Linked DNA regions of Cricetulus griseus. The protein of the gene in region 4 purifies or fractionates together with the protein of the main gene of each other region. This does not show direct contact. Links are inferred from orthologs where the notes say so. Each region holds a gene or a part of one and is shown on either strand. Other genes may lie near its edges.

Region 1 (6,027 bases), about 210 Mb from region 4:
ACTGATTATATTAGCAACACCAGGCTGCTAATCTTTCCCAATAGCTTGTTTCTTAGTCTCCATTTTCATTAGCATTCACTAGGAATATACCCAAGCCTGAGAGACTCTTCCTTATACTAAACATGAAGCATGTTTAAATATACAGGTAGAAACTCAAAGCTCTTTCTCTAAATTGAAGAAACTGTAAACAGCTAACTTTGCCAAGTGATATCAATTGGTATCAAGGCAAAATACATTAGTTTTTTTATCAAATGAAGGTAAAAAATTACCAATTCTCATTTTATCATTTACCTTGGGGGCGGGGGGGGGGGGAATTGAAACAAGTTACTTTTTATTAGTTCACTCAATGCATCAGCATCTCAATCCCAAACAAACTGCTTTTAAGGAATACATTTGTTTGAAAAGAAAAATGTAACAGAATAACAAGTACTAAAAACAGTGTAACAAAAAGGTAGGTTGAAAACACATGCTTCAAAAGTCATCATATTCTGCCACGAAACCAGAAAGTCTGAATGAAGTGCTGATGCCCCCAGCATTATGAGAGCCTGGAACACACAAGAGATAACAGAGACAGGTGGATGAATAGTGTGCTCCTACTTAATACACAGAATCCCTAGAGACTGAGTAGAGTAAGCCCGCAGCAGTGCAGCAAAGGGAGGAAGAGAATACTCACAGGAAAAGTCTCTGGTTGAGAATAATGAAAAACTATGAGGCACAGGCCATGGAAATGAGTACACATGCCTCAAGTCCAGCACTCAAGAGGCTGATTTCAGTTATGAGACCAGCCTGGGTTACACAATGAGAGGGTGTGCCTCAAACAACCAACAAACACCCAAAGTGATAATTTAGCTCAAGATAGTGGCACACATACACATAATTCCAGCTACAAGGGAGCCAAGGCAGTATCAACAAGCCTGAGGCCAATAGGGGAATTCAGCAAGAGCCTTCTACTTAAAAAAACAAACAAACAAACAAACAAACAAACAAACAAAAACCCAAAAACAACAACAACAAAAAACCCTACTGAATTTTAAATTCTTTAATATACAACTAAGTAAACTGAAAATAGGGTAAACATTTTCTCAGTGTCTGTTTCACATGAATGCCATCGTTTCATACCTGAATTTACCAGGGTTCTAAGGGAGGACATTTCAAGAATGATCTCTGACATTTTGAATGCTTTTGACATTTGCCTCACATCCTTTCTGGTACAATACACAGTGGCACAGTCCATGCAAGGAAATACCTGGCACAGCATACACCATGGGGGGTGGTCAGAGTTAAAAAAAAAAAAAAAAGAAAGAAAGAAAGAAAGAGAAAACTGGAGAAAAAGGCACAGAGAAGGCAATCCTCGTCAGTCTGCTCAAGCAGAAACTATCTGTGCACCAACTGATCAACTCAGAGGCAGGGGCAAGCTCTGCATCATGGTTATGGTGGACACTGCTGCTGTGGACAAGGTGGCAGAGGTGTGCAACTGAGAAATTACATGTATAACTTCAACTCTAACTTTGACTTAATTTCTTAAGGACATCCAAACAAGATCAAATGCTGAGGTATAGGTATTCAGACTGTGGGTGCCTGTATTATTCCCATCATTCATTACATTGCTACTAGTGTTTTTACTGTTAAATATATAGACTATTTTTAGCCCAGGTTCCTACATATAATAACAGAACTGAGAGGTTCTATTTATATAATGAGCTTTTTGTTTTTGTTTTTCGAGATAGGGTCTCACTGTGTAGCCTTGGATGTCTTGAAACTTGTTCTGACCTCAAACTCGGAGATCCACCTGCCTCTGCCTCCTAAGTGCTGGGATTAAAGACTGTGTGCCACCACCGCCTGTCCTAAACAGCTTTTATAAACAGCTGTTTTTGTTGTTGTTTTGTTCTAGATACCCTGAGCAAGGCAATTAAAAGAGAAAAATAAAACCTTAAGTAAGTTTAAACATGAAAAAGTAGCAGCCTAGAACAGTTTACAAAAGCCAGTATGCCTTGGAAAGCAGACTGTCAACCCACAAAATTCACAGGAGATCTGCCACCTTTTAGCTGTTACCCACCGGCTGGCTTTTACCTCCTTATCACTATAAAATGAAAAGTACCTTAGTGTTCAACAAAATAAAAGCAAAAGACCTCTTCAATGGCAACCCCATCTTAATCCACAGGTGACACATGTTAACTAACTGCCAGAGCCATCCTAACCTGGGCATTAACCACTTTTTATACAGGCTCAATGACTGGCAAATGCTGTCACTCAGCATTCGCATTGCTTTCACCAAGCACAGACCCCTCTAACTAGTTATACATTATGACCCACCCAGCTCACTGCTTCACTGCCCTTAGGCTCTACAACTGCAAAGTACCTCTTGGTTTTCACCAGCACATTTCTGTAAGACTCTTATACACTGAACCACAGGGTTGAATACCTTTTATTTCATTTATTTACTACTACTTATCTAATTATTACCTGCCACCCCCCTTACCAAGACAGGGTCTCACTGTATAGCACTGGTTGGCCTAGAACTCTCAAAGTTGACCTTGAACTCAGTGAACTCTGACTGCCTCTGCTTCCCCCCAAGTGCTGGGATTAAAGGCATGTGCTACCATGCCTGACTGGGATCTCACCTCTTCAAACAGTTGCCAACTGACCTCTAAAACATAAGCAAAGAGAGACTCTAGAATGCTAAGCAGTGGACGAATGTAGTTGTTGGAGAAGTGTCACTATGGGGGCAGGCTTTGAGGATTCCTATGCTCAAGATACCACCCAGTGTCTTAGTCAACATCCTGTTGCCTGTAAAATGTACGACTCTCAAATATGTCTGCCTGCATGCCACATGCTCCTCACTGTAATGATAGTGGATTGAACCTCTGAAACTGTAAGCGAGTCACCCCAATTAAATGTTTTCTTTATAAGGGTTGCCATGGTCATGATATCACAGCAATAGAAACCCTAAGACACATATACAAAACACAGTGCAGCAACCATGAAGGATGACTGGGATTAGAAATGAAGGTAATCTAGCACATCTGAGCACAGACAGCTGGTATAACACACCTGGACAGAACTCCTGGCTGGAACACCTGCAGCTCTGCAGCAGCAAAGAATGACCTGATGACTCTTCCTGGGAATCAATTTCTTCACATGTGAAATGATATTAAGGCATCAATTATAGCTCAAAGGTTGTGGCTTGGATTTTATGAGCCAAACACAAAATTTTCTGGCGAGAGAACTCAAATCATACACTAATAATCAAGCCACAAACAGAATTTAGGAGTTCATGAGAAGAGCTGCTGCTTATAAATACATTAAATCATAAACAGGTAAGTTTAAAGAATGGTTGAGAACACACACAGTTGATTACAGGTGGAGACCTAGGAAGGATTCCAAGAAAGTGGGAGAACCAAGAGAGGCTTCATTGTTTAGCCTTTCTGCAGCTCCCCCATTTGGTTTTCTATATAATAACACTATATTTTTGTGTTTTGGGACAAAAAACAATAAAATCTAGCAAGACCAAAAAATATGTGGTTGCTCTTCAAACCTGTCAAGGTCCTGGTCATTCTACTGTTAACAACTTCCTCAATGGCAGTGGTCTTCACTGTGGAACCTTCGGTGGACCAAAGGGTCAAAGCTGTATTGACAATGACACAGATCTGTGATCTGCTGGACCAATGTCGTCCTCTGTGTGGATGAGCAGAGGCCACAGGAAGCCAGGCCAGCACCATGCTGCAGTAGCATTCCTCAAGTTCTGCAGGATATCCATGCGGCAAAAGACAAGGCGAAGAGCAAGTTTTCTTACGACTGTCCCCAACAAACACTGGAATCACTGACTTGACTTGCTACCCATCTTGTAGCCAGGCTTTTCAGTGTTTTCACAGAGCCAGTCTGTTGCTTCTATATGCACAGCTGTCTCCAGGAAAGGTACCTCATTGCCATTGTTTTCACAGAATGCTATCTTCATTTGGAATGGCTTACATTGGTCATTCGGACTTTGACATGTGGTAGATTTTTGAAAATGAGAAAAGCGAGCCTCTTAAGTTATGAATAAAATCGGTTGTCAATAATAAAATCCAGGTATTCAAGAACACATTAGACTTTGGGGGAGCCCATTATCCACTGCTGCTGCTGACTACTTACCCTTGTTGAGAAGTTGCTATCTATGGTAGCATTAACAAACACAATTTTCTTGGGTCAAATATAATGAAAAATCTTTAAAAATCAGAATAGCTCCATGCACTATAAATTATGGAGCCTGATATTACAGGGTACAACAGATCTCTGATGGCCAGGTGGAAGACGCAGGAGGATCTCTGCCTCAAAAAAACAGAACACAACAAAACAAAAGAACTGCTGGTCCAGATCCCAAGGTGCAGCTAAAGAACAAAGCCCCAATTAAGGAGCAGAACACCCACCATTCCCCGGAAAGAGTAATTACCTCTCTCCCCCTCCCTCCCTCTCCTCTTTCTCTCTCTCTCTCTCTCTCTCTCTCCTCCTTCTCTCTCTCTTTCTGGTTTTTCGAGACTGGGTTTCCCTGTAGCTTTGGAGCCCATCCTGGCTCTTGCTCTGGAGACCAGGCTGGCCTCTGCCTCCCGAGTGCTGGGATTAAAGGCATGCGCCACCAACGCCTGGCCTGCTTCTCCATTTTCTAACTACAGTTTGAGGCCAAATTTCTTCACAAACTTCAACAAACCTGTGAGAGACCCAACCTGGGAACAGATCTGAGGATCAGCTGTTTCTTAATAAGCCATTTAAAGGAATTGTTAAGTGTAAGACAACAGCATTCTTTTCACTAAACCTGTTTCATAAAAATTGTTTTTCGGGAGCTGGAGAGATGGCTCAACGGTTAAGAGCACTGACTGCTCTTCCAGAGGTCCCGAGTTCAATTCCCAGCAACCACATGATGGCTCACAACCATCCCTAATGAGATCTGGTGCCCTCTTCTGGCCTGCAGGGACACATGCAGACAGAACACTGTATACATAATAAATTAATCCCAGCATTCATGAGGCAGAGGCAGGTGATCTCTGTGAGTTCGAGGCCAGCTTGGTCTCCAGAGTGAGTGCCAGGATGGGCTCCAAAGCTACACAGAGAAACCCTGTCTTGAAAAAACAAAAAAAGTATTTCAATAAAGAGTAGCATATGTATTTATTTTACAGTGAAAAAAACTTAATGCCTATATATATAATAAGGTCAGCAAGGTATATCCTAAAGGTAACTCTGGCAGCAGCAGGGCTGTTCATTTTGATGAGCTGTAGCTACTCTCCCTCTATGAAGATGGTTTGAGGTCAGTAGGTAAAGGTTTGTACCCACATCTCTGCAAAATGCCTTCCCATGTGTCCCAGCTTTCTGTACTTGGACTAGCATCATGCTGCTGAGACAAGCCTTATGCAGAACCGGGCACCGTCAAAGTCCATACAAGTGTAAGGACAGTCCAGAGTGCAGAACCTGAACTATTTACCATTTGGCTCTTTGTAGAAAAGTGTGCAAATTCCTGAGAGTTTGACTTTTTCCATAGAACCTGTGGTCCTTGACCCACAATCATTCTCCAAAGGCCAGGGTGACCTTCATACAGTTACAGTGTTGTCACTCCTGCTTAGGACCTTCAGCTCATAATCACTCATAGCACAGTTCAAAGCCCTTGGCATGGGATTCAAGGGCTGTAGCTTATTATTAGCTGGGCTGGGCTGGCCTGCTCTCAGGGCATTCCTGCTCGCCAAGGACCAAGTCAGGTTCTCTTACTTTTCAGAAAGTCACTCTTCATGTATCTCTCCTCAAAGCACTCAAGTCACATGTTCCCTTCTTCCCTTTTTGTCATGCCCTTCCACCTCTACCCTCCCCTGGGCAGTGGTCATTTCTCTCTGGTTCTCCACAAGGGATGCGATGCCCTATCCACTGACAGAATTTCATTTCTGCACTTCCTAGTCCAAGCCTTTCAGTGCACTGTGCCGACTTCTTTAGCCCTGTATCACTATTCCTTTTCCATGCCTCCCACAGCAAGCAGCACAGAGTCAACTTCTTTATGTTGTACCCTAG
Region 2 (5,263 bases), on a different chromosome or scaffold from region 4:
GTACAAAACAGCTCTTTAGTGCAGCATGGAGTTTCATCTACCAAGTTACTTCCAGATGGAATTCCACTCTGCTGGAACAGCAAGAACAGTCAGCTTGTCTACTTGGTATTTCCTAAGGCAAAAAAGAAATTAAGCACTGGAAGAAGACTTCAGAGTGAAGCTCTACAACTGTGGTTCTCATTTACAGTGACTTCATTAACAGTTAAGCATAGACACACAAAAAAAAAAACAGAACCCTCGAGCATCTCTAGACCGTGAACCCTTAACAATAATATATGTTCAACACATGAGTGCATAGAACCACACCTCTCTCAGAGGCTCCATGGAAAAGAACACTTGTTAAAAATAGTTCATAAAAATACCAAGGAGACAATAGAAACCCATTTCACTTCATTGCACCCATGGATATGACACAAAATATTGGTTTAAAGAGGTAGATGAAAAAGAAAAAGAAAACCAGATTCTCCATTCTTTGTCACTTTTATTCAGTAGTAGTTTTTTTTTTTTCCTTATTTTCAGTGCCAGACATGGCAAGGAGTGATTACAGCCAACTGTTATTAAAACATTTGTTCGCAACATATACCCCCATTACCACTGACCCAAAACTGACTCGTTTTGTGTGCTTTCGTTCTTCCTTTTAATATGCCACCACCGAGACCAGGTGGAAAGGGCAAGGGTAAGAGATGGAGGGGAAGAGTCCAGGAGGCCAGAGAGGAGGAATGCTACAAGCCACAGTAAGAATGAGCTGTATTTAATTTAAAAAAGAGAGGAGGGGTGTACCCCACAAATGATACAGTAATGAGGATACACAAATCCCATAGCATGACTGAAGGCGTTCACTGTGTTTGACGTCATCACAATGGAAGGCATAAAAAGTGGAGTACATCAATGCTGACACAGTCCAGTCCAGTCCACCAGGCAAGATGGTGCAAGAAGTCATTAAATTAAAAGTGCCCTTCCCTTCCCTAAACGGCTAGCAGACATGGAGAACAGCCTGGGATGCACCCACACAGCTTTCTCCATGTGGCTATCAAATGTGTTGTCGAATGGCACACTGTCAAACACTGGAAAGGGGCGCCACAATGGACCGCTCTCTTATAGGTATGAATGCTAGATTCAACTATCTCACTAAGCAGGAAGTGGCTCCTCTGCTAGGAATGCCAGCCTAATTCACTTTGTCTTGAAATATGTACAGATTGTTTGTAGTTGCTACAGCAATGATGTTTTCCTTGGGGTGCCAGGCTGTATGAAGGATTTTCTTGTTGAAGTCTAGGCTGTCAACACTTATTTCATCTTTCTTTCGCTTGCCGCTCGCACAGACTTTGCGTGGCTTCAAAACTGTGCGAGGCTTATTGTTTTCTCGTGATGCTTCTAGAGTTATATCCCGCTTTGTGTTCCTGTCGAACATTCTGAAGAAATTATTGTAGGATCCAGTCATGACAACACTGTAAAGGTAGAACACCCAATCAAACTGTTAACAAGAGACTGTTTACTGTAACAGGTCAGTGACCAACCTTGCCTAGCACTCACTGTGCAGGAAGCAACTTCTTTAAGCTTATCTGAACTAAGACATAAAGGATATTGACAACCAAACCAAAAGCACTAGAATCTTCTTTCTAAAAAAGCAAATTTAAGAAATTGTACAAAGCTGATAGCACCCAAGTACATTTCTCTTCTTGGTATGAATTACCTCATTGAGTAATCTTTGCCAACAGTAGACCATGCAACCAACCATACTAAGGGGATTCTAGAACTAGCAACCTATGGAGTTCATTCTAACCTCCTCCAAAATGGGGAGGGGGAAAAAAAAAGGTTGTTGCTGTTTCATAAAGCAAATTATGAGCTATTTTACTTGCCCAGATAATTTTTTTCTTTTTTTTGAGATGAGGTCTCATTATGCAGCCCAGCTTGGCCTCAGAACCATAACCCTCCTGCCTCCACATTCCTGGTGCAGGGATTATAGGCATATATTTACCATGCCTACTTCAGATAATATGAATGCTTACAATAGACCTGCTCAAGAAAATAACATTATGGGGCTGGAGAGATGGCTCAGAGGTTAAGAGCACTGGCTGCTCTTCCAGGAGCTGAGTTCAATTCCCAGCAACCACAAGGTAACTCACAACCATCTGTAATGAGATCTGGTGCCCTCTTCTGGCATGCAGACAACTATCAATAAACAAATCTTAAAAAAAAAAAAAAAAATAAATAACATATCTTCATTAATGATAAAATTATTGTACCCGTGGCACAAAACAATTGTTCTGTATTCTCATGAAAGCCATCACGGCTTCAAAACTCCCTGTGTAGTACAAAATGACCTTGGACTCCTGGCCCTCTTGTTCTTCTAAATGCTGTAGTTACAGGTTGTGTGCCAGGAGACCTATCTTCCAAAAAAACACCTTAACCAAACACTTACTCAAATCTTTCACTAAATTCAAAACCACCTTTGTTGTCTGATTTCTTTCCTAGTTTACCCACCTTTCTACTCGAGTCAAACGGTCTCTGTAATTACTGTGCATAAGGCAAACTAGGGACTGGTCAGCTAATACATGGTGTGTCACAAAGGATTCTGATTTATTCAGAATGCCAGTCCCTCAAAGAACGGACAATATCAATTGAATTCAGGGTGGTGTATGTCCCTGATAATGAAACTGTTTCTTTAAAAACAATTCACATAAATTAAGCTGGTGGTACCCATCCATGTTTGTAAATTTTTAACTGTTACTTTGTAGCACAAAATGTCCAGGTTATGAAAGACAAGAAAGAACTGGAGAATTCTTAAAATACATAGAACAAGTTATGACACCATGTCACTTTAAGACAAGAGCAGGTTTCTCTCTGCCATGAAGGGACTGAAACCACCTGGTGGGTCACCGAGCTCTGGACAGCACTAACCAAAGCTGGCTTTGAGCTGTAGCTGTGGCAGATGGGGCCCCTGTCCATTAGGAAGTGGTGTGGGGGCCGGCTGGGGGGGGTGGGGTGGGAGGAGTTGTCAGTGGTTAAGAACACTTTCTGCTTTTACAGAGGCCGGGTTTCTGTTCCCAGCAATCCAGGGTGGCTCATGACCATCTGTTACTCCAGTTCCAGGGTTCACTGCCCTCTTTTGGCCTCCACAGGCACCAAGTACAAAAACATACTTCACATACATGTAGGCAAACATTCATACACATAAAATTAAGATAAACATAAGAATAAATTTTTCAATGCATAATTTAAAAGTAATTATATTCCAAAGAGCTTGAGAGAGAGAGAGAGAGAGAGAGAGAGAGAGAGAGAGAGAGAGAGAGAGAGAGGGAGAGAGAGAGGGAGAGAGAGAGGGAGAGAGAGAGAGAGAAGTCAAGACAACCTTTATGGGTCGGTTCTTCCTTCTCTGCAGGTTCCAGTAATCCAACTGAGGTTGTTAGGCTTGGAAGCCTTTTTGCTGTATCCATCACCCTGCCTGCCCTCAGAAAGTATCCTTGATGTTGAGAGTTATCACCTTCCTTGACAACGGAAGGGCACTGAGAACTAACCATACAGATACCAGACATGGGGAAACTGACTGTAAGACGCCACACCTACATACACCAGTACATTCTCTTCACATCTGTCCTTCCTGAACTCACATTTAGCAATGACATCACAGGTACTTACCCTGCAGGAGGCATTCGAGTAGTGTGATCAGCCTATTATTAAGCCTCATATAAAACTCAGGCAATTATAATTTAAAAACCAGAGAAAAGACAAACACCTCAAGTTTGAGGGCTCTAACATCTAACACCAAAAAATGTGAATCATATCAAGCTTTTTAAATTCAACTACCGCCAAATAAAGCACCTGTAATTGCTTTAGATAAGGCCTAAAGTAACTGCAAAATTATGCTGTGTTTGAATCGGAATACAGTAAGCACTAAGAACTTGCAATAACATACAAATTGCTTCTGTGGAGTGAGTGTCGTGGTTACAGACACTGAAGTACAACACTGCATCAAGTACCTGAGCTGCCCAAACAGTTCTCCAATGAAATTCACCACTTTAATTAACTGTTGGCATATCTGAGTTATGATTTTGTTTTTAATGTTTCTTTCATGAAACAGTCTGCATTACTGACTCAGACTCCTCAAGCACTCTTCCTGCCTCAGCTGCCCAGGGGGGCGGAACTACAGATACACACTGTACATGGCTAGCAATGTCATTTATGTGGCTCACAAAAAAAGGGGAAAGATTTTATAATGTAACTTAAATACCTATAACTTCTTATTATAGATCTCTTATGCTTTATGTAGAAAATCAACACTTTTTTTTTAATCATTATAACTCTATTCATGATTACTAGGTTTATTTCACAAGTACCTGGAAGAAAAAAGAATAACTTCTGTCAAAGAAACAAAAAATTAGGTCTTTATTTTTACCTAGTATGACAAACCAGAGGGGATAAAACAGCAAGTTTCTTCCTTACCTGTCAGACCCATTCCAACAACATTCAAATTTGTCAAATATGCAGTCATTTTCATAGAGTGAGCAAAGTTTACTTCTGAGGTATTCATGTACCTAGGGAGAAACACATACTCCATTTCAGTCTCCTCTCAAATCAGGAACATTAAAAATTCATTTAAACAGTGGATAGCAGAATCACACCCCCCCCCCCCTCTAACCTTACTTCTCCTGGTCCTTACATTTTTCAGTAGCACAACTGAGGAAAACACCTTTCTGGGCACTGCAACGTACTCCAATAAGCCTAACTAAGACATCTGTAATATTCAAATAAGAATGTACACCCTCCATAGATTCATTTATCTGAATGTTTGATCCACATTTGGTGGCCTATTTAGGAAGGATTAAGTGGTGTGGCCTTTTGGAGGAGGCCTTTTGTGTCACTGGGGTAGGGCTTTGAAGTCAGCCTCCCTCTGCCTCCAGTCAGTGAATCAGATGTAAGCTACTGTTCTACACCATGCCTGCCTGCCTGCCTGCCACCCATATTCTCCACCATAATGAAACTGTAAGCAAGTCCCCATTAAATGCCATCTCTTCTCCCGCCAGGGACAGGGTTTCTGTGTAGCCCTGGCTGTCCAGGAACTCACAAGAGATCCACCTGCCCCTGCCTCCCAAGTACCAGGATTAAAGGTGTGTGCCGCTGCCGCCGCCACCACCAGCAGTTTAAAATAATTTCTTTCTTAAGTTGCCTTGGTCATGGTGTCTCGTTCACATAAATATAACAGTAACTGAGACATCTAAGCCAGAAGGTATTTGAAAATGGCAAATAAGAGACTAACAAAAGAATG
Region 3 (5,263 bases), on a different chromosome or scaffold from region 4:
TGGGTGTGTTAAGCATCCTGCTGTGGTTCTCTAGTGTACTGTGTGTATCGAGTGCATGTATCTGCGGGTATTTGTGACTCGCTACCAGGGAAAGAATAAGAACATTTGGGTCTGCTTACATTTGTAGGTGGTTTTGTTAAAATCGAATTGGTATCATATGTCTGAGTAGAAAAGGAAGGTTGTGAAACTGTGTATGACAATCTGTTAGGGCATATGTATGGATACGTCTGGTGCTCTTAAGTACATTATAAAGACTTCTTTATTTCTTTTTTGTCAGAAGTTAAGTTTTTCTGACCATTTGTAAAAAAAATGATCATTTATAAATCATAGGAAAGGTGTTTAAAAATTTTATTTTAAATTATGTGCATGTGTGTGTGTGTATGTGAGCTTGCTCATGTACTTGCAGGTTTTCTGAGAGGCCAGAGAGGACATCTGATCTGGAGCTGGGGTTGTCCGCAGTTGTGATCCCGCTGGTTTAGGTGCTGGGAATTGAACTCCAGTCCTCTGGAAGAGCAATGTACATTTAACCACTGAGCCATCTCCCAGTCCAAGAAATTATTTATTTAAAAAAGTTTATTTTTGGTAAATATTAATGTGAGTGGTATTCCCAGAAGATGTTTTTATTGCTTTCTTTGAAAACCAGCCTTTTGGATTAAGACAGGCCTTTTTTTTTTTTTTTTCCTTCTTCCAAGTTTTGAAGGACTTTTAAGGCTTAATATTCTTCTTCTTTTTTTTTTTTTTTTTTTTTTTTTTAAGGTTTAATATTCTACGAGGAGATTCATGACACCTGTATAGGGATGCTTGCTGTATGAAACCTGAGCATCCCCCTCTTTTTTTTCTTCCAACTTGGGAGCCGGTGGGGGTGGAGTTTATGTATGGGACTTGGGCTGGTGTGTAGTGGCTGGTTGGTGGCTGAGAATGTTCACCAGGGCCTTTCCAATGCAGTTTTTTTTTGTTTCCCCTTTGAGACAGGGTTTCATTGTTTAATCCTGGCTGCCCTAGAACTTGCTGTGTAGACCAGGCTGGCCTGAAACTCAAGAGATCTGCCTGCCTCTGCCTCTTGAGTGCTGGGGTTAAAGGTGTATACCACTACCACCTGGCATCCTACAGCTTTTATATTTAGCTTAGAATTTTATAATTTGAAGAAAAACTATGTTTTTGCACTTTTAAGTGGCACACAGTGAGGAGGTTTCTTTGGGAATATCCCCCATCCCTCTTTGGGCATGAAGCTGCTGTAAGACCACTGTGCAGCCTGCAGAAGCTAAAGGAGGAAAAGCACAGAGGCTGTGTATCTGTCATTGGGCAGTGTCCACCCAAAGGGAGGGCTCAACGAGAGGGATTTAAACAAAGTTCTAGGTTTTGTTTTTTTGAACAGTGGGGGTATCTTTTACAGGACAAAATTAGTGAAAATATATGTATATCAAGTCAGAGTTAGTGAGAATAGACAGAATTAGATATTTAAAGAAAACTTTCAGATCAGCCTGACCTTGAGGGGAAAAACAGACACACAGACAAAACAAGGAGTGAAAACTGGCAGAACTCGAGAAAGGCTTGCATTCCTCTGAAAAGAGAAGTGAGAGGTGCCAGGAACATAGTAGGCATCTGGCCAAGTAGAGTTCAGTGTAGTTGAGGTCTTGGTCAAGGCTCAGTCTCTGGTTACTTTGGCAGTAGAACCCTGTGTTAGTGGCATTGTAGTAAGAACAATCATTTTAAGTATTTGTTAAAGATCAGTAGCTGGGAGAAAAGCATGGGTGCTTATCCTTGGTGACAGACGTTTTAAACTGCAATGGCTGTGCTTCACCATCATTATCATTAAGTGTGTGATGTCAGGTTTGCAGAGTGTATTTTGAGTCTGTGTGGTGTGGTTGTGTGTAAAGCAAGCAGCTGAAGATGTTCTCTTGGGCTCTCCTGCAGTCTATGCCATTCGGGAAGCTGCCACCAACAATCTCATGAAGTTGGTCCAAAAGTTTGGTACCGAGTGGGCCCAGAATACCATCGTACCTAGAGTGCTAGTGATGGCAAATGACCCTAATTACTTGCACAGAATGACCACTCTATTCTGCATCAATGTAAGTATGACACAGTGTCATTGCTAAGCTCAGGCATGAAATCATTCTCAGGATATTTCTAAGTTCTGAGTGAGCTACCTTTTGTTTGAGGTGCATTTTGTATACTGGTAAATTTGGGTAATTAGAATAGAGAAAATGTTGATTTGAAAATTGGAGCTGGAGAGATGGCTCAGTGGACAGGAGGGCCCCCTGTTTGCTCAGAGGACCCGAGTTTGAGTCTCAAGCACCCATGTCAGGTAGCTCACAACTTTTGTAATTCCAGCTGCTGCTGGTGGCGGGTCTGACTCTTCTTGTCTCCCACCATCATCCCCCTCGTCATGAATCCACACATAATAAAACTCAATATTTAAAACTTGATGTATTTTAAAACTTGCATTTTGTTGTGTGATTTGGCATAGGTCTTTCATCTTTTGAGCCACCTCATGTTCCTTAGATGCTCAAGTAGGAAGCATTTTTCTGTTGGTCAATTAATTTCCCTTTAAATATTAGTTTGTTTCTCTAGATTTGGGGAGTATTAAGAAAGTTTTAAATGTGCCATCTTACTTATTTTTCTAGGCACTGTCTGAAGCCTGTGGTAAGGAAATAACCACTAAGCAAATGTTGCCCATCGTGTTGAAAATGGCAGGAGACCAAGTAGCAAATGTCCGTTTCAATGTGGCCAAGTCATTACAGAAAATTGGACCAATTCTAGATACCAAGTAAGATTTATTTTAGTGTTGCTATTGGTGTGAAAGCATCTCCTCACGGGTGTGTGTGTGAGTGTGTGTGTGGGGTGAAGGGAAGCAATAGCTAAAATAATCCCAGGGGTTTCTTTTTTTACTTTTCATAGAATCTGGGCTTATTCAAAGAAAAGAATTCAGCCCTAGGTTTTGAGACTGTTCATTTTGACTTTTACATTTATGTTCTGGGTATATATAGAACACTGCCCCAAAGCGAATTTCACCAAGAACTTCTTTAGAAATTATTTGATGTACTTGTCATGTTTGTATTTAAAAGTATTTTCATTTTAAATTAAAAAGTTACCATCGATCCAAACCTCAAATTCCAAAGCAGATTGTGTTCTAATGGACCTCTCTGTCCCACCAGCCATCTTTTGAGTTACTTCTGAATTTCAGTGCCCTGCAGGGGGAAGTGAAACCAGTGCTGCAGAAGCTAGGTCAGGATGAAGACATGGATGTCAAGTATTTCGCACAGGAAGCTATAAGTGGTATGCATTTCGTTTGTTGCTCGACTTTGGTTGGTGGGAGTTTTCCTCTACTGTGTGAGCAGTGGGAATTGCAGTACGATGGGCATGATGGGAGGCAGAGGGTGGCAAGCACCTGCTATGCTGGGCCTGTGTGGTTAGGGGTTTCTCAGGCCTTGCTGGGCTTGGAAGCATACACTTGTAATCCCAGCACTTGGGAGACTGAGGCAGGAGGACCTCAGGGTAGAGGAGCTGGGGCTATATTGTGAGACCCTGTCTAAAATAAAGTCTTGGCCTACGGTTCTCTAAGTGAGCAGGCCATTTTCTCAGTTCCATGTGTAGGATGCTGATTCTTACTGGCAAGAGCAGTTTTGGTTTGGACTCGAGATTAAGTCTTTAACTTCCAGTCAGCCTGACAGAGTGCAGGCCCGCAGTGAGAGCTCAGGCTCATGCTGTTGTCATTGTTACATACTACATGTTCTCATAGCGATCGCTAATGAACTTTCTGTACCACTAACATGATTTTGTTTGGAATTTTCCAGTTCTTGCCTTGGCATAAAGAGGAACAGGAGGGAAAAGCCTTTACTAAATTCTTATCACAGATCTCTAGTCAATGTGTTCTTACACTGGGTGGAGAAAAATGGAAACCTTCAAGATCTCATCCAAGCAAATGGCAACAACTTAGAAGAAATCAGATTTCAGTGACTTGATCCTTTGTAAACATGAACTGAGACTGATTTGATGTCTCTGTCGGGATAACTTGAAAGCCCTTCTTACTGACCAGTTGCTGATATTCCCTCGCAGTCCCCCTTTGAGTGTCTCCCAGGGGTTTCTTCCAGCACCCCTGAGGCTCCTGCTTCCTCCCTTTTGAATCAGGCCCCAGCCACATAAGATTCCAGACAGAGCCTGGATGGATTTGGACCCCGACATGGAGTGGAGTGATTCTCTTACTGTTTACATGTGTCTCTATGCCTGTAGCTTTCCAATGTTAAAAGTAAATGGTTTAGAAAAACTTATAATTATCTACTTGGGAGATAATACTGAGATTTGACTGTAGTGAAAGCCACATCTTTCTGGTTACGATGGTTCGCATCAGTATCTCACACGAAAGGAGATATGGAAGGTTAATGTATTGGTTGTTCTGGTTTTCATTTGCTCAGTTTTGACTGTAATCATGTCATGCAGAAGCCTGAAGTGGGTGTATCTTGCTGCTAATGTGTGATGTTGAAAGGTATCAATTTCAACGGCTCAGCACTGTGACTGCCTTCAAAAACTCATAAGAAACTTTAGTGCCTCCTACTAAGCTGTGGTTCTACGGTTTCATTGTGAAGTTTTGTGTTTCAAGTAAGTGTAGGAACCACTGTTCCTGGTTCTCCTTCCAGCAATGTTAGCATCTTGCCATTGCTACACTGCACAGTACCAAACTGAAGTTTTGCTGCTCAGTGTTTTCTTGTGGTGTCGGTGATGCTGGAACAATTTTCTACTTTTGCACTAAAACTTCATTAATTTGTCCTGAAACTTAAGGTAGCAGGTAAAGCTGAAGGGTTTGCTGATGCAAACTGTTTATGGAAGGCTGCTTGACACTGTTTTTAGAGAGCACCTGCTCATCAGTGGGCGTGCTGATTACCGATCACCCTGTTCAGTTATAACCCACTCCTCCCGTGAGCAGCTTGACAGGTCCCACCTTTCTGATGACTCCTCTGGGTAATTTAAATGGTTTTCATCTAATAGACTCCTTGTCTCCAGTGGACTTAGTTAATGAGGTTTTACTGCAGCCTGTTTTTTCTCAGTGCATCTCACCATGTAGTTTGGTGTTTCTATTTTGGTTTCTGAATTGTTGATTTTACTTACAAACTCTTTTAGATATAACAAGCCCTGTTGCGTTTTGTGAAGGCCCAAAGATACCTACAAAACTTTGTACATTAAACATAAGTTTCATAAAACCAAGTTTGTGTAAATGCTTTTAAGTTTATCATACCTTAGAAAAACAGAACAGAAAATTTCTATCAGA
Region 4 (5,263 bases):
TCAAACTCAGGACTTCCTGTATGCTAGGCAAGCGCTCTACCACCTAAGCGGCATCCCCAGCCCCTCAAGCATTCATTACTGCAAAGACTTTTACACATCTTTGTGGAAGTTCCTTCCTGTGACTGAGTCAGCTTTGCCCCAGAGATGAGCCAGCACAATTGGCAGGTAAAGGGCTGCTGAGGTGAGGAGGACTTAAAAACTAAGCTGAGGGTCTGGTCGAGCCTCCCCATGCCTCACTCTGGCATGAAGGAAGCCAAACCCTGACCCTGCACTGCTCTGGGGTAAACAGCTCTTGATGCTTCCATCCGATCCGCCACCCACTCTGCCCTGGGAACGCCCTGCTCTGGCATCTCTGCCACCCACTGCCAGGACATTCTTGCTGAGCCCTCTCCCAGGTTGGGAAGGTTTTGCTTTGGGGATTATTACATCCATACATTCTACTTCTCTGCCTGACAATTCTTCCAAATGGTGTCTACACTAGTCTGTGTTTTCTCCAGACCACGGTGTGACTCTGTCACATAAGCAAACGCTATAAGGATGTCAGCTGCAACAGTATAATGGCTTGGTTTTCATTAGTTACTCATTGTTAAGACTCCAGAATCAATTAACTATAATACAACAGCCAACAACTCTTAATGTAAAAGACAGACACATAATTCCTAAGTTTGTGAACATCTAGTTATACATGAAAATCAGAACCTCTGAGAACTGCATGTCCTCCAGTTTGCAGTGAACACAATGCAGCTTTCTCATGGGGACATCACACATCTTTAGTATAAGGATAAATATCTGCAGAGGTATAACATGTAATGTCCAGGAATAAAGACATTTTGGCTTTATCCTAAGAGTTGCCCAAACCTACATGAGTTGAATACTAGTCTAGGATGCTCCTAGGCAGGTAGGAAATCCCACGGCAGGGGATATACACTGGGGTGGTTTTGTCTAACAAATCACATGACAGTGAAGCTATCCATCCCAGGCCTTTCATTTTTGCTATCAGACCAGCAATGTAATGAAGTTTGCTGCGTGTTTATATAAAACCACTGACTTTCACACAGAACTTTATATGCAAACAGTCTTCTTCAAGTACAGAATCCTTATAAATCCCAAGATAGACATGGCATGAAAGATGGAGCCAGACACTGATGGATGTAATAGAGACCCTGCCACTCCCTGAATGTAGCAGACTACTACATTTTCTTAGACTGCAGTTTGACTCCTATTGTTGCTAACAACTTCAAAGGACAGTAAATGAAAAATACTCCAGCAGATGAACGTTGCTTGCTATTTCAGTAGTTCTTTCAGTTAAAGATATTTTGGGGGCTGGAGAGATGGCTGGGTGGTTAAGAGCACCTGCACTCTGAAGAGGATCCCAGTTTGATTCCCAGCAGCAACACAGTGCTCACAATAGTCTGTGGCTCCAGTCTCAGGGGAATCTGACCACCTCTTCTGAGGCACACAGACATGCAGGTAAACATTCACAGACATAAAATAAAAGCAAGTCTTTAAGAAAAACAATGTTTTGTCTGGTAGTGGTGGTGGTGCATGTCTTTAGTCCCAGCACTCAAGAAGCAGAGGCAGGTGGATCACTGTGAGTTCAAGGCCAGCCTGGTCTACACAGCGAGTACCACGACAACCAAGGTTATACAAAGAAATGCTATCTTGGTGAAAAGAAAGAAAGAAAGAAAGAAAGAAAGAAAGAAAGAAAGAAAGAATCTTAAAAAATACTATTTATTAACATGAGGTGCTCCATTTAAATAAGCTGATTATTTAAGTAGTTTTAGAAACATGCTTAAACACAGTGAGTTTTCAGCTCTAAATTATTCAGAAATACTCTTATCAATACATGGTTACTATAAAGGCTTAAGATGCTTCAAATATCTTTTATTTAATTTAATTCTAAAACTTTGTTATGACTCTAAGAACTATCTCTCTTTAGAATTAGGAAATCTCACCCCTATATATTTCATTATGCCCACACAGCACAACATGATTCCTAGAATTCACCTGTTCGCCCAAGCCCTGCGTGGCAGTGGACAGCTACTTTTCCTTCTTGTAGGGCAAATGTCATCACCTTTACCATGTCTAAGATGGCAGTGAGGGACGCTACACCATAATCCTTCCACCCAAAGTTGTAGAAATAAACTAGACAGTGAAAGAGAAAAAGAAAAACAAAATTAATATGCATAAAAATACAAGGACAACTGAAGAAAATGAGTCACAAGGCACAGAGATTTAATTAAATAAGCAGACTTACAATAATAGGCTTTTTATTTTTTTACTTTTTATGTCTTGAGACAGGGTTTCACAGTGTAGCCCTGGCTTGCCTGGAGCTTGATAAGCAAACCAGGATGATCTTGAATTCACAGAGATCTGCCTGCCCCTGTTTCCTGTGCTGAGATTAAAGGTATGAGTCACCATACCCATCTAACAGGATTTTTATATTTCCAGAAAGCTTAACTTAAAATTTCTTACAAGCACATTCTTTTTCCTTAATACATTTCTTGCTGTAGTGCAGGTGGAAAGAATTTTAGCAGAGTAGAATTAAAAACAAAGGTGGAGGGAACAACATGTATTCTTGTTTAAGAATAGAAATTCTCTAAAAGGCTAATAAATGGCTAGATATAGAGTTTTATATAGCTATAGATACAGAGTTTTCTACTTAGGGTGACCAAAAAAAGCTAGATACAAGCCTCTTAAGAACACGTTCCCTGCTCAGCCTGGTTTGAATAACCCCACTGAGTGGACTCCACTCCAAAGCGTCTGTGATGAGCTCTGGGCTGGCCACGAGGATATATTCTTGTAGGGCCAAAATTATTCAACTTCCAATCCCCATTGAATTTCTAATCTATGTGATCTCAGACAAGCTGATAACTCTCTAAGCCTAAACTGAGTGGCACAACTGCTGTAAAGAGAAATTGAGGTCGTCATGTCTGACACGGTACAGACTCTAACTGAACAGAAGCCTTATTACTGCAGGGTCTCCTCCCAGCCCCTCCTAGAGGAAAAGGAAACCCTGTACTCACAACAGCATCATCCAAGAAAGGTAGCATCATTTAAGGTGAAATCAGAAGCCCCACTACCGTACAGATTCTATTGATAAGTATTCTCTTTAACCTGAGAGCCTGGAGGACAAAAGTCTCTATGTACTGAACTTGATAATTCAGGGTGGGAAGGAACTTACTGCCAGCCTCCATGAATGCTTCGGGAAGGTACGTGAAACCACTTTCTTGTTCCAGAGAGTTCCCACAGCTGGCGTGCTCACCAGGGCGCTGCAGGTTGATGATTGTTTTTATGCCATGACTTCAAAGGAAAAGAGCCATCAGTTATAAGGACCCCAAGTCCTGAGAAACTGGATTTTAGCATTAGTAAGGCATTATTGATTGCTCTCAAACTTTTCTTTATAATCAGCTCTTCACTGCCTGTTTTTTAAAAGTGAGCTCTTTTTTCCTTTGATGCCATAATCAATTAAAGACAAGCATGCTGACTGTGTTCACTACAGCCATGGGTGCTGTGGTACTCACCTGAGGAACTGCTCAATGATGTGATACTTCTCCAGCAGCTCAGAGGACGGACGAGCCATGGCCAGGATACTGTCAGTGACCCTGAAGACAGGTATGGAACTGCTGAGATGCACAAAACTCAGAGCATTCTACCTAGTAGGATTAGCAACTTTTTTTCCTATCATTTCAGCAGCTTCTATATTCTTACATAAATCTGGCTTTAATTCTGCATCACAATTAGAACCTTGTAGCTCCTTAAATCCCACAGGGAAAAAAGGTCAAGACCTAAGTCATTTATGGATTCTGACAAAATGTCTCCAAGGACTCTAAAGAGATTCTAGTGGATATAAAGGGGAACTTTACCCTGTGACAAAGTGGTCATTCAACTAAACGGAGGACAAATGGGAGGCTGATATTGGACACCTGTTACCTGATGTGTGAAATGAGGTAATAATGCCAGACATACATAGGGTTGGGGTGAGAATTCAGTATGATGTGGATGTACAAATATAGCCCAAATCCTGACCTGTGGCTATAAATAAATACTGAGGCGCTGTAATTTAGCAAAGAAAGAGGGTGGGGGTTCAGAGTCAGGTGGCCTGACTTCAAATGGTGTTTTGCTTTTCTTCTATCTGTGAAGCAAATTAACTCATCCCTCTGGACTACTAATAAAATGGCATTAACAGCTCACAAGGTTTTATGAAAATTAGTGATACTTTGAAAGCACCTAGTAGCAAAGTACCTTGTCCTACAATTAAATGTTTATGAATGAATCTATGAACAAAATAGAATGAGTCAATGAACAGTTGGCCATAAAAAGCCTGTCTGTCACTCTTATTAGACCTCCAGCTTTGCTCTGCTTTGTTCAAATTTGTCATCAGGAAGTTGGTAAAAGATATGTACAAAAGTCTATTGCAAATTTTGACTCATATGAATCTCAGAGGAGTAGCAAAGACGTGAAACTGGTAGGCCAGTATCCACTAGACAGTATTCCCCTCAGGAGCAACATGTAGAACCTAACAAGGACTTCCAAAGACTTGAGATGGACCCTGACATGAGGGAAAGGCTCATGTGGATAGTTAACAATCAAGGAGAGTGGTCATGTGAGCTATGCTACATTGGACATTTGCTTGTGGGACTCTGACTCAGGAGTGTTTGCTCCCTCATATCATAAGTGTCATTAGGCTTCACTGTGACTCATACAGAACACTAACGACAGTGGACCTCAGGCTGGGTCACCACAGAGAGTAGAGACAGCAAATCAAATAAGTAGTCAGCAAACATCTGATCTTAAATGGGTTCTTGCTGTATAAAATAATTCATGAGTAGAACTCTTTTAAACAGTTAATTATATGTTCCAAATATGATTTTGTTTTTTGACTTTTTTTGAGACAAGGTCTTACTGTGTAGCCCTGGCTGTCCTGGAACTCACTATGTAAACCAGGCTAACCTTGAACTCACAGAGATCTACAGGCCTCTGCTCCCTGTGTGCTGGGATTAAAGGCAGGCACCATTATGCCCAGCTCAATTACGACTTGATTATCAGTATTTTCAAGACCATAAATACAGACCTGACTAGCTCGCTGTCACTAATAAGGGCAGTATGACTTAAGAGTAGAATTAATTGTGCCTAAACACAAGAACCAACACCAGCATCTTATGGGCTGCCTGCTGACCAGTCAGGGAAGACGGAAGTATATTTCCTAGCAGACACACTATGTGAATGCCCAATCTACACATGGACCATGGAATTCTCTCAA

What was found.
Region 1: the proteins of Ptpdc1 (region 4) and serine/threonine-protein phosphatase 2A 55 kDa regulatory subunit B delta isoform purify together in Homo sapiens (affinity purification with mass spectrometry; 5 studies listed by BioGRID and IntAct, counting the BioPlex papers as one, with this or other methods). This does not show direct contact. The link is inferred for Cricetulus griseus from reciprocal best matches to the Homo sapiens genes PTPDC1 and PPP2R2D.
Region 2: the proteins of Ptpdc1 (region 4) and Ppp2r2a purify together in Homo sapiens (affinity purification with mass spectrometry; 4 studies listed by BioGRID and IntAct, counting the BioPlex papers as one, with this or other methods). This does not show direct contact. The link is inferred for Cricetulus griseus from reciprocal best matches to the Homo sapiens genes PTPDC1 and PPP2R2A.
Region 3: the proteins of Ptpdc1 (region 4) and Ppp2r1b purify together in Homo sapiens (affinity purification with mass spectrometry; 3 studies listed by BioGRID and IntAct, counting the BioPlex papers as one, with this or other methods). This does not show direct contact. The link is inferred for Cricetulus griseus from reciprocal best matches to the Homo sapiens genes PTPDC1 and PPP2R1B.

What each region holds. Positions count from the first base shown.
Region 1 is NC_048596.1:62,120,686-62,126,712, forward strand, and holds the start of serine/threonine-protein phosphatase 2A 55 kDa regulatory subunit B delta isoform, read right to left. Parts: upstream 3,735-6,027; 5' UTR 3,720-3,734; coding exon 3,536-3,719; intron 3,133-3,535; coding exon 3,052-3,132; intron 1-3,051. UniProt on the Homo sapiens protein: Substrate-recognition subunit of protein phosphatase 2A (PP2A) that plays a key role in cell cycle by controlling mitosis entry and exit. Involved in chromosome clustering during late mitosis by mediating dephosphorylation of MKI67.
Region 2 is NW_023276807.1:221,994,420-221,999,682, forward strand, and holds part of Ppp2r2a (serine/threonine-protein phosphatase 2A 55 kDa regulatory subunit B alpha isoform), read right to left. Parts: intron 4,533-5,263; coding exon 4,441-4,532; intron 1,446-4,440; coding exon 1,166-1,445; 3' UTR 1-1,165. UniProt on the Homo sapiens protein: Substrate-recognition subunit of protein phosphatase 2A (PP2A) that plays a key role in cell cycle by controlling mitosis entry and exit. Involved in chromosome clustering during late mitosis by mediating dephosphorylation of MKI67.
Region 3 is NC_048597.1:162,645,126-162,650,388, forward strand, and holds part of Ppp2r1b (serine/threonine-protein phosphatase 2A 65 kDa regulatory subunit A beta isoform), read left to right. Parts: intron 1-1,914; coding exon 1,915-2,069; intron 2,070-2,624; coding exon 2,625-2,767; intron 2,768-3,184; coding exon 3,185-3,276; intron 3,277-3,794; coding exon of another isoform or gene 3,795-3,811; exon of another isoform or gene 3,812-5,263. UniProt on the Homo sapiens protein: The PR65 subunit of protein phosphatase 2A serves as a scaffolding molecule to coordinate the assembly of the catalytic subunit and a variable regulatory B subunit.
Region 4 is NC_048596.1:268,382,173-268,387,435, forward strand, and holds part of Ptpdc1 (protein tyrosine phosphatase domain-containing protein 1), read right to left. Parts: intron 3,606-5,263; coding exon 3,525-3,605; intron 3,304-3,524; coding exon 3,185-3,303; intron 2,146-3,184; coding exon 2,008-2,145; intron 1-2,007. UniProt on the Homo sapiens protein: May play roles in cilia formation and/or maintenance.